2 linked regions of the Mus musculus genome follow. The protein of the gene in region 2 binds, or shares a complex with, the protein of the main gene of each other region. Links are inferred from orthologs where the notes say so. Each region holds a gene or a part of one and is shown on either strand. Other genes may lie near its edges. The genes, in order: Pomc and Oprm1.

What was found.
Region 1: the proteins of Oprm1 (region 2) and Pomc are in contact, whole or in part, in a cryo-EM structure (PDB 8F7Q), measured with the Homo sapiens proteins. The link is inferred for Mus musculus from reciprocal best matches to the Homo sapiens genes OPRM1 and POMC. Residues at the interface, in NP_000905.3 of Homo sapiens: Ser66, Met67, Ala70, Ile71, Met74, Gln126, Asn129, Tyr130, Leu131, Met132, Gly133, Trp135, Val145, Ile146, Asp149, Tyr150, Met153, Arg213, Ile217, Asp218, Cys219, Thr220, Glu231, Lys235, Val238, Ile298, Val302, Lys305, Trp320, Ile324; in NP_000930.1 of Homo sapiens: Tyr237, Gly238, Gly239, Phe240, Met241, Thr242, Ser243, Glu244, Lys245, Thr248, Pro249, Leu250, Val251, Leu253.

Annotation. Positions count from the first base shown.
Region 1 is NC_000078.6:3,953,314-3,957,758, forward strand, and holds the start of Pomc (pro-opiomelanocortin preproprotein), read left to right. Parts: upstream 1-1,631; 5' UTR 1,632-1,733; intron 1,734-2,074; exon of another isoform or gene 2,075-2,250; intron 2,251-3,505; exon of another isoform or gene 3,506-3,616; intron 3,617-4,445.
Region 2 is NC_000076.6:6,786,953-6,791,386, reverse strand, and holds the start of Oprm1 (mu-type opioid receptor), read right to left. Parts: upstream 2,818-4,434; 5' UTR 2,513-2,817; coding exon 2,229-2,512; intron 393-2,228; coding exon of another isoform or gene 314-392; exon of another isoform or gene 144-313; intron 1-143. UniProt on the Homo sapiens protein: Receptor for endogenous opioids such as beta-endorphin and endomorphin. Receptor for natural and synthetic opioids including morphine, heroin, DAMGO, fentanyl, etorphine, buprenorphin and methadone.

The sequences.
Region 1 (4,445 bases), on a different chromosome or scaffold from region 2:
TAACTTTTCAAGCTTTTCAGTTCATATTGGCCAAAGCAAGTTCTTCTATATATAATTAGGAGCCCAGATGATGGGCCAACCCAAACTTACCTTGATTTGACTTTGAGGCTGCCAGTAGCAAGCAGCCCCCTAAAGACAGAACAATAAAGCAAAGGAAAACAAAGACAAAATCACCACAATTAGAGAGCTGGTGAGCCTGATGTCGGTGAGGGCAGAGGTGGATGGGAGGTTGAAGACAGAAGTGTATTAGTTCAAGTATAATAAGCTACATATACAGATGAGACAAGAATGGGGTTCCCTGCCGAACACAGATCATTTCTCAGGCTCCTGGCAGAAATAATAGCCAAAGGGGGCTTAATATGAACTGGGAGATGATGGGGAGTAACCTCACTGGAGGGACAGAGGGTGCTAAGCTTCCGGGAAACACTCAGGGAAGTAGAGGCAGAAAGTAGTGCTCATGGAGTATGAGTGTTGGGAGTATGTGACACCCAGGATACAAGATGGACAGCAGGAAGTCACTCCGGAAAGAGGCCACAGCCAGGTGACACACTCCTTGCTCTTGTTTGGGAGCTTGGTGTGTTCTCTCATGGCACAAAAGGAAAAGATTTTTGGATGCCAATCAGAAAAGCTGAACTCTCAAAGGAGCCCTGGAATCCCCCAAACAAAACAAAGCAAATAGACAAGCAAACAGCGTCTAACTGGGGAGTGAAGTTCCTTCAGCTGGTAGATTAGGCAGGCACCCCGACTGGTCTGGTACAGGCCTGGTCCTGCTGCCAGCCACAGCTCTCTTCACAAGTTTTGCTCTTTGTGCTGGCTCAGGTAGATGCCACTGCAGGTCTGTTCTTCCTTCTGTTTTGGCCTGTGAGTTCACAGCTAAGCCAGAATGCCTGGGCCTGGCCACATGGTGAGGGCTGTCAGACAATCCCCACCCAGACCATTCTGCCAGCTCAGCCCCGGGATGGCTTCCATTTCCATTGCCCACCACAGAGCGCTGCACCTCTTGGTTAATAGTCTGAGGCTGGCATGACCTTGCCCTTAGAGTTTGGGCACAGAAGGACACCTGTCTTGAAATAAGTATTGGGGAATCAAGGCAGGCACACACCCCACTCCAAAAGGTAGCCTGCCTTGGGCGGCCGTGACTCTTGACAGCCTCTGTTGTCTCCCTTCTCAAAACGGAACTGAGATTTTGGTTTCACAAGATATCACACTTTCCCATCATTGGGGAAATCTGCGACATAACAAATCCCCTTCCTCATTAGTGATATTTACCTCCAAATGCCAGGAAGGCAGATGGACGCACATAGGTAATTCCACTCCGATCTGCAAGATCTCAGAACTAGGCCTGCCTCGCACAGGGACGCTAAGCCTCTGTCCAGTTCTAAGTGGAGATTCAACACCATTCTTAATTAAGTTCTTCCTAACCACCAGCGCCAGGTGTGCGCTTCAGCGGGTCTGTGCTAACGCCAGCCTCCGCGCTTTCCAGGCAGATGTGCCTTGCGCTCAGCCAGGACCGGGAAGCCCCCCTCCCGAGGCCCGCCGCCCCCCTTCGCTGCAGAAGCGCTGCCAGGAAGGTCACGTCCAAGGCTCACCCACCCAACCCTGCAAGTATAAAAGAAGAGAGAAGAGCGACAGGGACCAAACGGGAGGCGACGGAAGAGAAAAGAGGTTAAGAGCAGTGACTAAGAGAGGCCACTGAACATCTTTGTCCCCAGAGAGCTGCCTTTCCGCGACAGGTAAGGGTGTCTCAGCTCTGGACAGCTCCCTTACTCTGAGCTCTGACCCCGGACCTTGGGATCCTCAGCAGACTGGCGTTCTGGTTTGTAGCGGACCTGACCTCTTCTCAAACTTCTGAGATGGGAGAGAGCTGAGCCCGGATGATGGGTTGACAGACTGCTCCAGAGAGCAGGTGGTTTGGCGACTCCATCTGGGGATGGTCCCAGAGTCCGCATGGAGGAATGAAGTGTTGGGAGGCTTAGGATTGTCTTAGACTCCGACTGGCCCCTGGGGAGATTTTGGGAGAGTTCCCCTTTAGGCTTCTCCTTCCGATTGTTTGGACTTGTATATCTTCTTTAAGGCAGGAGACTGAACATGTTGGAAAGATAGCGGGAGAGAAAGCCGAGTCACAATAAACTCCTAATGGTGGAGTTCATTTGTTGTTGCTGTAGACGTCCAAACCCTCGTTTCTCTGCGCATCTTAGCAGATCTGGGGTGGTTGCATTGTGATAATTACGTGGGTTATAGGACAGGACGGTAAGTAGGTTCTTGTCTTCAAGATCCAGCTCAGATTTAAAAACAGGGTGTGGGAGGGAACTGTCCAAGGTTCTGAAATACTCCGTCTACTTTCGGAAGCCTTTATAAAACTGTGGGGGCGTTGCAGCAATTTGTAAGGACCCATACTCAGGTAAAGGACATTTCAAATGGAGAGAAAGATTCCCTCAAGTTTTCCATGTATAAATCATGGGAAGCTTTCACAGAATGGCTGGAAGGAGTTAAGTAAAATGAAAAGAAGTTTGTCAATGTATAAAGTAAGTGCAGATTGTTTCCTTTGGGTCTTATAGAAGTTGAAGCAAACGCACTGTGTATGGATGAAGCCGCATCTCTGTGCCTCTCAGATTTATACACAGCTTGTCGCAGTCACTCTGAGAGCAGAACATATAAGCTCTACTGAGTTCAGAGACTTTTCTGGGGCCCTAATAAGCGCAGTTCTGTCAAAATGAATAAACCACAACCTTCTGTCTTCCAGAGATGTTAATGACTGGAACCTGACACTCTCCTATCTATGAAAAGCACAGCATTTGACATTTCCCTCAATACTTTTGATTAAAAAAAAAAAGAGGCACAAATAAGACATTTGTTTCATTGTAAGAAAAGGGAGAAATACAAATAAAATGCTCTAGGAGTGGGGCATAAGAATTTCAGCACACAGTGGGTGGGCTAGGAAGAGAAGGCACAATTTTGAAGGCCTGAAATCTCAACTGTGGCTCCTTCAAAGATGGTCACACAACTTTCAGGACAATGGAAACTTAGTGAGAGGACTTGCATGATCTTACTTTTCTTTACTAATATGTTTTCATGCTATTTATCATTTTTTATGCTTTCCTATCTGGGGGAATTTTGTGATCTCAGCATTTTGAGCTAATTTGCTCCAGTCTGAGCCTGAGCCCCAGCAATGGTGAACAAGGTTGCTTCTAGGCTGAGGTACGGACCACATAGTTCAATGACTGCTAGCGCCTACTAATGGTTGTTCTGAAAAAGACACTCAGAGCTTGCAGGAAAAACCAGCTCTAGAAGAATGGTGCAGGGGTGGAGCAGAGAGGAGAAAGAGATTCTTGAAGGAAGACTTTCACTTCCAAATCCTCCCTTTCAAAAATAGAGGTTTGGCTCCCGTCTTTATTTTCTGTCATATTCATCTTAAAATGCAAATGTTCATCAGGGGTAACAGACACTTAAGTCATTTACATCTTTTTTAAAATTATTACATTTTATTTTATTTTATTTTTTTCAGGTCAGGGTATTTCTGTGTAACCCTAGCTGTTCTGGAATTTTTTCTGTAGACCAGGCTGGTCTTGAACTCAGAGATCCTCCTGCCTCTATTTCCTGGGTGCTGGGATTAAAGGTATGAGCCTGGGTATTTACATCTTACTATGAACTAATTTTTCTAATCTAATTAAATGTCTTCCTAACAGCTGGTAATCTGAAATCCAGAATGAGTGTAAAGTTGGTGGGGAACTTTTACAGAGTAGGGTGACATTAGGGGTCCTTGGGTGAGGGGGAACAGATATCACAGGCTAAGAACCTAGCAGTGTGAGGGAAGAGCTGGACACCAGGGGACCAAAGTTGCTCTCTCTCTCTCTCTCTCTCTCTCTCTCTCTCTCTCTCTCTCCTGCCTGTTGGTCTTTTGACCTCCATATCTGCCCAGAGGTGCTTTGCATTCCTCCACAGTATCTTAGTCGTTCTCCACTGTGGAGGCAGCTTCCTTTCCATTCTTTTGCCTATCTCTCTGTCCTCAATATTGACATCCTCTTCAAAATCACATATTTCAGACTACAAGACTTATGATGTGTGGTGTGTATGTTTAGAAAACAGGATAGTTTTAAGGGAAGTGGAATCTGCTTTAGAGAGAAATCTTCCCAAAGTTACTAGGGTCTAGAAAATGACAGTCACCAGGCAATTTGTGTATAGAATATCAAACCTTGATTAAGTGGACTGGCTTTATTTGCCTGTATTCAAACCTACCTTTCATGGGAAATGATCAAATGTTAGGCGAAAGGAACCAAGGCAGGACTTTCCTATCTTTTGTCTTAGTTACTCTCACCCTTTGGATACAGAGTGTTGAACTATAGCTTTCTCCAGGCAGTGAACTTAGAAGCTATGTGGGAATGTGGAAAAACATACTTTTACTTCATCATGGACATAAAAGAAATGATCTTTTGGGGGCATCAGCT
Region 2 (4,434 bases):
CTCAGCTACCTAGGCACAGAGTCTTCAGCCCACAGACACTTGACCAGCACTTCATGTGTCATTGAACTGCCTCTTTTTCTATTTCACATTCTTATTCTCAGAAGGTTATCTGCCCATGGAATTAAGCACTTTATCTGCCACAGGTGGGTGTTTGGGTTGACCTTTCAAATAGAGCTGCCTTTGTCAGAACTTTCAGTACAGAGAAAAAAAAGCACAATACCATGTTCTCAGTGAGAGACAGTGTGACCATGTCTCCAAGTGAACAAGTGAGAGGCAATGCTTTTAAAATGAACCCACCAGGCCAGGAACGAACTCAGCATTGGGCAAAGACCAAGCCATGTCTGCTCCAGCTGCTTCCTGTGCTACTGGCACTCTTTATAGAAAAATAGAAGCTGGAGGGGATAAAAAGGAGGGAGGAAGATGCTGAGATCATAAAGAGAAAAAGCTCCTGGATTCTTTGGCAATTGTTTCGCACCTTTTAAACCCAAGAACACATGCATAAATTTGGGGTGTTTTGTTATTTAGTATCACTACTGTAAAGCAAGCTTTCTCTCTTGATCTAGCAAAAGAATTAACTCAAACCATCAATGTATATATCCTAATAAACAGAAAATTATGTGAGCACAGTGACAGCCATGGGCAGTGAACTAGTAAATATCTTGTCTCAGTTAAAAAAAAAATGATTTCTTTGTATTGGTTCAATTGTCTAGCATAGAAAACCCTAAGAACATTTCAGTTCTCTCATTTTATGATTCTGTTTTTACCCCCCAGGAACAATGAATAGCATATTTTCCTTACCAAAAGCCATCTTTTAATTACTGCTGTAACTGTGTGATGAGACTGACTGAATCTCTAATTTGAATCTCTGTTTTGAATCACAGAGAATAAATGTCTCAAAGCATACATTTCTATATTGATTCTCTGCCTGTGTTTTTCTTCTGCTGTTAGCCTTCCTTTCAATAGATGGTGCTCTTTTCTCAGAGACACATCCTTCACCCAAAGACCAGAGAAATCAGCTTTACTTTAAACAATCATTAATTAAAGAAATCAGACAAGCAATTTGCAGTACCTTGGGAATAAAAGCATAATGAGGGAAATGATCTTTCAGGGACTCTGAGCACTCTGTGGAAGCCTGAGACATGTGTGTTGAATAGGTGAAGCAAATATTGTAACTAAACATGGAAGTGCCAAGCTCATGATGCCACATAACCCCACTGGGAAGAAAACTCAAATCAGGAGCCATTTTAAAGTGCTGGGGTATCCATCTACTTTATCAGAAGTGGATAGATAAGTACTCCACAGTAACAGGCTGAATCTGAAGATGTAACTCAGCCAACACAATATCACGTTCAATCTTTGCTGAATTCATCTGGAGCACCCAAAACAACAGAAAGCAGACTCTTTCTGTTCAAACTCTTTGAAAGTAATTTCACTAGATAGAGATACTTTCCTCTCTAGACCATCCTGAACGTTGCTGCTTTTAACTTCCTTAATTGCTTCTCATGTTTGCAAGCACTGAAGAAATAGTTATGCCCTGAGCTACCCAGCAATTCCAGATCCCACTTGGAACTCCCTCAGCAGAACTGCAGGAAGAAAGTACTGTACTGGGCTAAACATCACAACAGCTTACTTGCTACCTTTAAGCTACCCTGCCCAGGAGAGATGGCAGGAAAGCTTCCTCCACCTGGGGCAGCCTCAGGATGGAAGAAGAGTAAGATAAAGGCTCCCAGAATATAGAAGTGGTGGGACTGTAGTCTAGCCTAAACCAGCAGGTCTAAAAAAGTTATCGAGTTTATCTCTTTAACTTACTGTGAAGCCTCTGTCTTTCAGTTAGGAGAAGCAAACAAGGTTCCCCTCCTCACTGTTTACAATTTCCTATTCTTACAGCTCATCCAGAGGGAGGATTGACTGCAAAACATGCTTCAAAGACCCTCTTGGCTTAGAATAAAAAGGGGATCCAAGATGGAGCCTCCCACCACCACATCTTAATAGTTTTGGCCAAAGAAATGTCTTGTCTTTGGAATCTTGAACACTGCTTTTTCAAGGAGAGGGAGAAAAATAAAACCAACCAACCAACAAAACCCAGAAAAGTAAAAGCTCACACACAAACAGCAAATACTCTATTCAAACCACCCCCTCTTTGTACCCTGTTTACTTCTCCTCTGTCACTCATGGGGGAGCTTTGTCCCCTCCCCCCTGCGGAACTAGGTATTCAGAACATGCCTTACCTTACAATCACATACATGACCAGGAAGTTTCCAAAGAGGCCCACTACACACACGATAGAATAGAGGGCCATGATGGTGATGGCTGTGACCATGGAAGGGCTGCCGGTCTGAGGGCACAGGCTGTGGCTCCCGCCAAGCCCCGTGCGGTTAGGACCGCATGGGTCGGACTGGTTGCCATCAACGTGGGACAAGTTGAGCCAGGAGCCAGGTGCTGGGGAGCAACTTGCAGGAGCTAAGGGGTCAGAGCAGTCGCTGATGTTCCCTGGGCCGGCGCTGCTGTCCATGGTTCTGAATGCTTGCTGCGGACTCGGTAGGCTGTAACTGAGAGCACTCAAGAGTGTTCGGGTTCCAGGCGCCCCAGCCTCTTCCTCTCACAGCTGCCCTAGGCTCCGTCAGTTTCTTACAAGGACAAGCCCTAGTGGAACCAGAGAAGAGCGGCAGGCAGAATGGAACGTCTGAGCGTCCGATATTCTCCTCTGCTTGTAGCCCCCTCCCACCTTAGAAGTACACGGAGGCGCATCCTTAGCATCCCCAAAGCGCCACTCTCTGAGTGGAAGGGAGGGAGCATGGGCTGTGAGGGATCCAGAGGCTAGAGGGGAGGGAGGAGAGAGAAGGAGTGGATTGTGCGCAAAGCAACTCAGAATCAGCCTCCTCAGTCTCTATGCACTTCCGTGTAAAGGAGTGTAAATTGGGGTAGGGGGGGGGGGAGCAGAAGCGGGGATGCTGCAGAGAGGGTGGGAAGAGAGACTCTAAGTTTCTTTGTAACAACCATGCATTAGGTTGTTTGCATCAGCCAGGAAAGTCGTTGGTCTGTTAAAATCTCAATGACCCTTATACCTCAACACTCTTCCGACTCAACTAACCATATGCAATTAATTAGGACTGGAGGGTTATTAATGTTGTCCTTTACCCACATCCCCATATCTGAGGGAAAACAAACAAACAAACCAAAACAAAACAAAACAAAAAACCCCTTTAGTTCCTCAAAAAATCAACCCCACAAACCTGTTCAAAGAAACAATTGTCTTTTTCTAAAAGAGAAAATTTTTGTGAAAGAAGCCTGTTTCATGTGCCCCCACTCCTTCAATTTCTCTTAGGTTAGAAGGTCTATTTGCATCTGATTTTTTTCCTAGTGAAGAAGAAGCATAAGAACACATTAGAGATGTGAGGGAGGAGGGGTGATAACCTGTAAATAAGGAACCCACTACCCATGCCAGGTCTACTCTCCTGGACCTGCTTAGGAAGATTTATCCTAAGCTTTCGCACTGCCTCCACTCTCCCGAGCTTCTGGGGAGCAGGTTACTGAATCAAGCAGAAATGTTTTTTCTTCCCACTATAGAGAATCCAAAAGAAACTCCACAGCTCTTTTGAGTGTGAAATGGCCTTAAGCAAGATCCTTGAGGAGCAAGAATGCATTTAAAAAATGTTAGATCTCATGTCTAAGTTCACAAGTGCTTCTGAAGGAATACAATCGTAAATTCAGCAGTAGTGTGGTTTCGTCTCAACACTGTGTATGCATATGCATGCCATGCGCATACCCATAGTTTTAACTATAAATACTGGAAATAAATGTCCCCGCTCCCATTTGGTTGTAGAAAGTTTAACTGAATTCTCACAGACTGTGGGGAAGCAAGCTTAGAAGGAACATATATTTTTACTTTTAAGCAATCATTCTGAAAAAAAGATAACACACAGCTCAACTATTGTAGACTTTTGGCCAACGTTCAGTATTATTTGTCCCCTTTTGCGTTAAAGGGTGTCATTTCAGCAGTAATGTAGATAAGGTTTTCTAGAGGCTGCTAAAATACCTTTAAATATATTCTCTTCGGAATAAGTGTGTCAGTTCATATGGCTGAGCTGAAATCTGTGTGCTCACATTCATCGGTCTCCCCAGGACACACAGAACCATCTTTACCCCCTTCTTGTGAATGACAGGTTGACTTGTGGTGCTTACTGCTGCCTTTGCTATCAGATCATTTTGTGATCTAGCCCTGTAATCTCTCGCAGTGTGATGCTACTTTACCTCAGTCTTCTTCTCAGAGTACAAACCTGAATTTTGTCCAACCATATGTTCTCATCTGAGATCAATATTTCCGTTCTATTGCTCTTTTGTGTGCTTCACTGAGAATAATTACCATCCTTCAATTACCCTAGAATGAAACATTTCCTAAACATCATTTCATCTCTCTCTCTCTCTCTCTCTCTC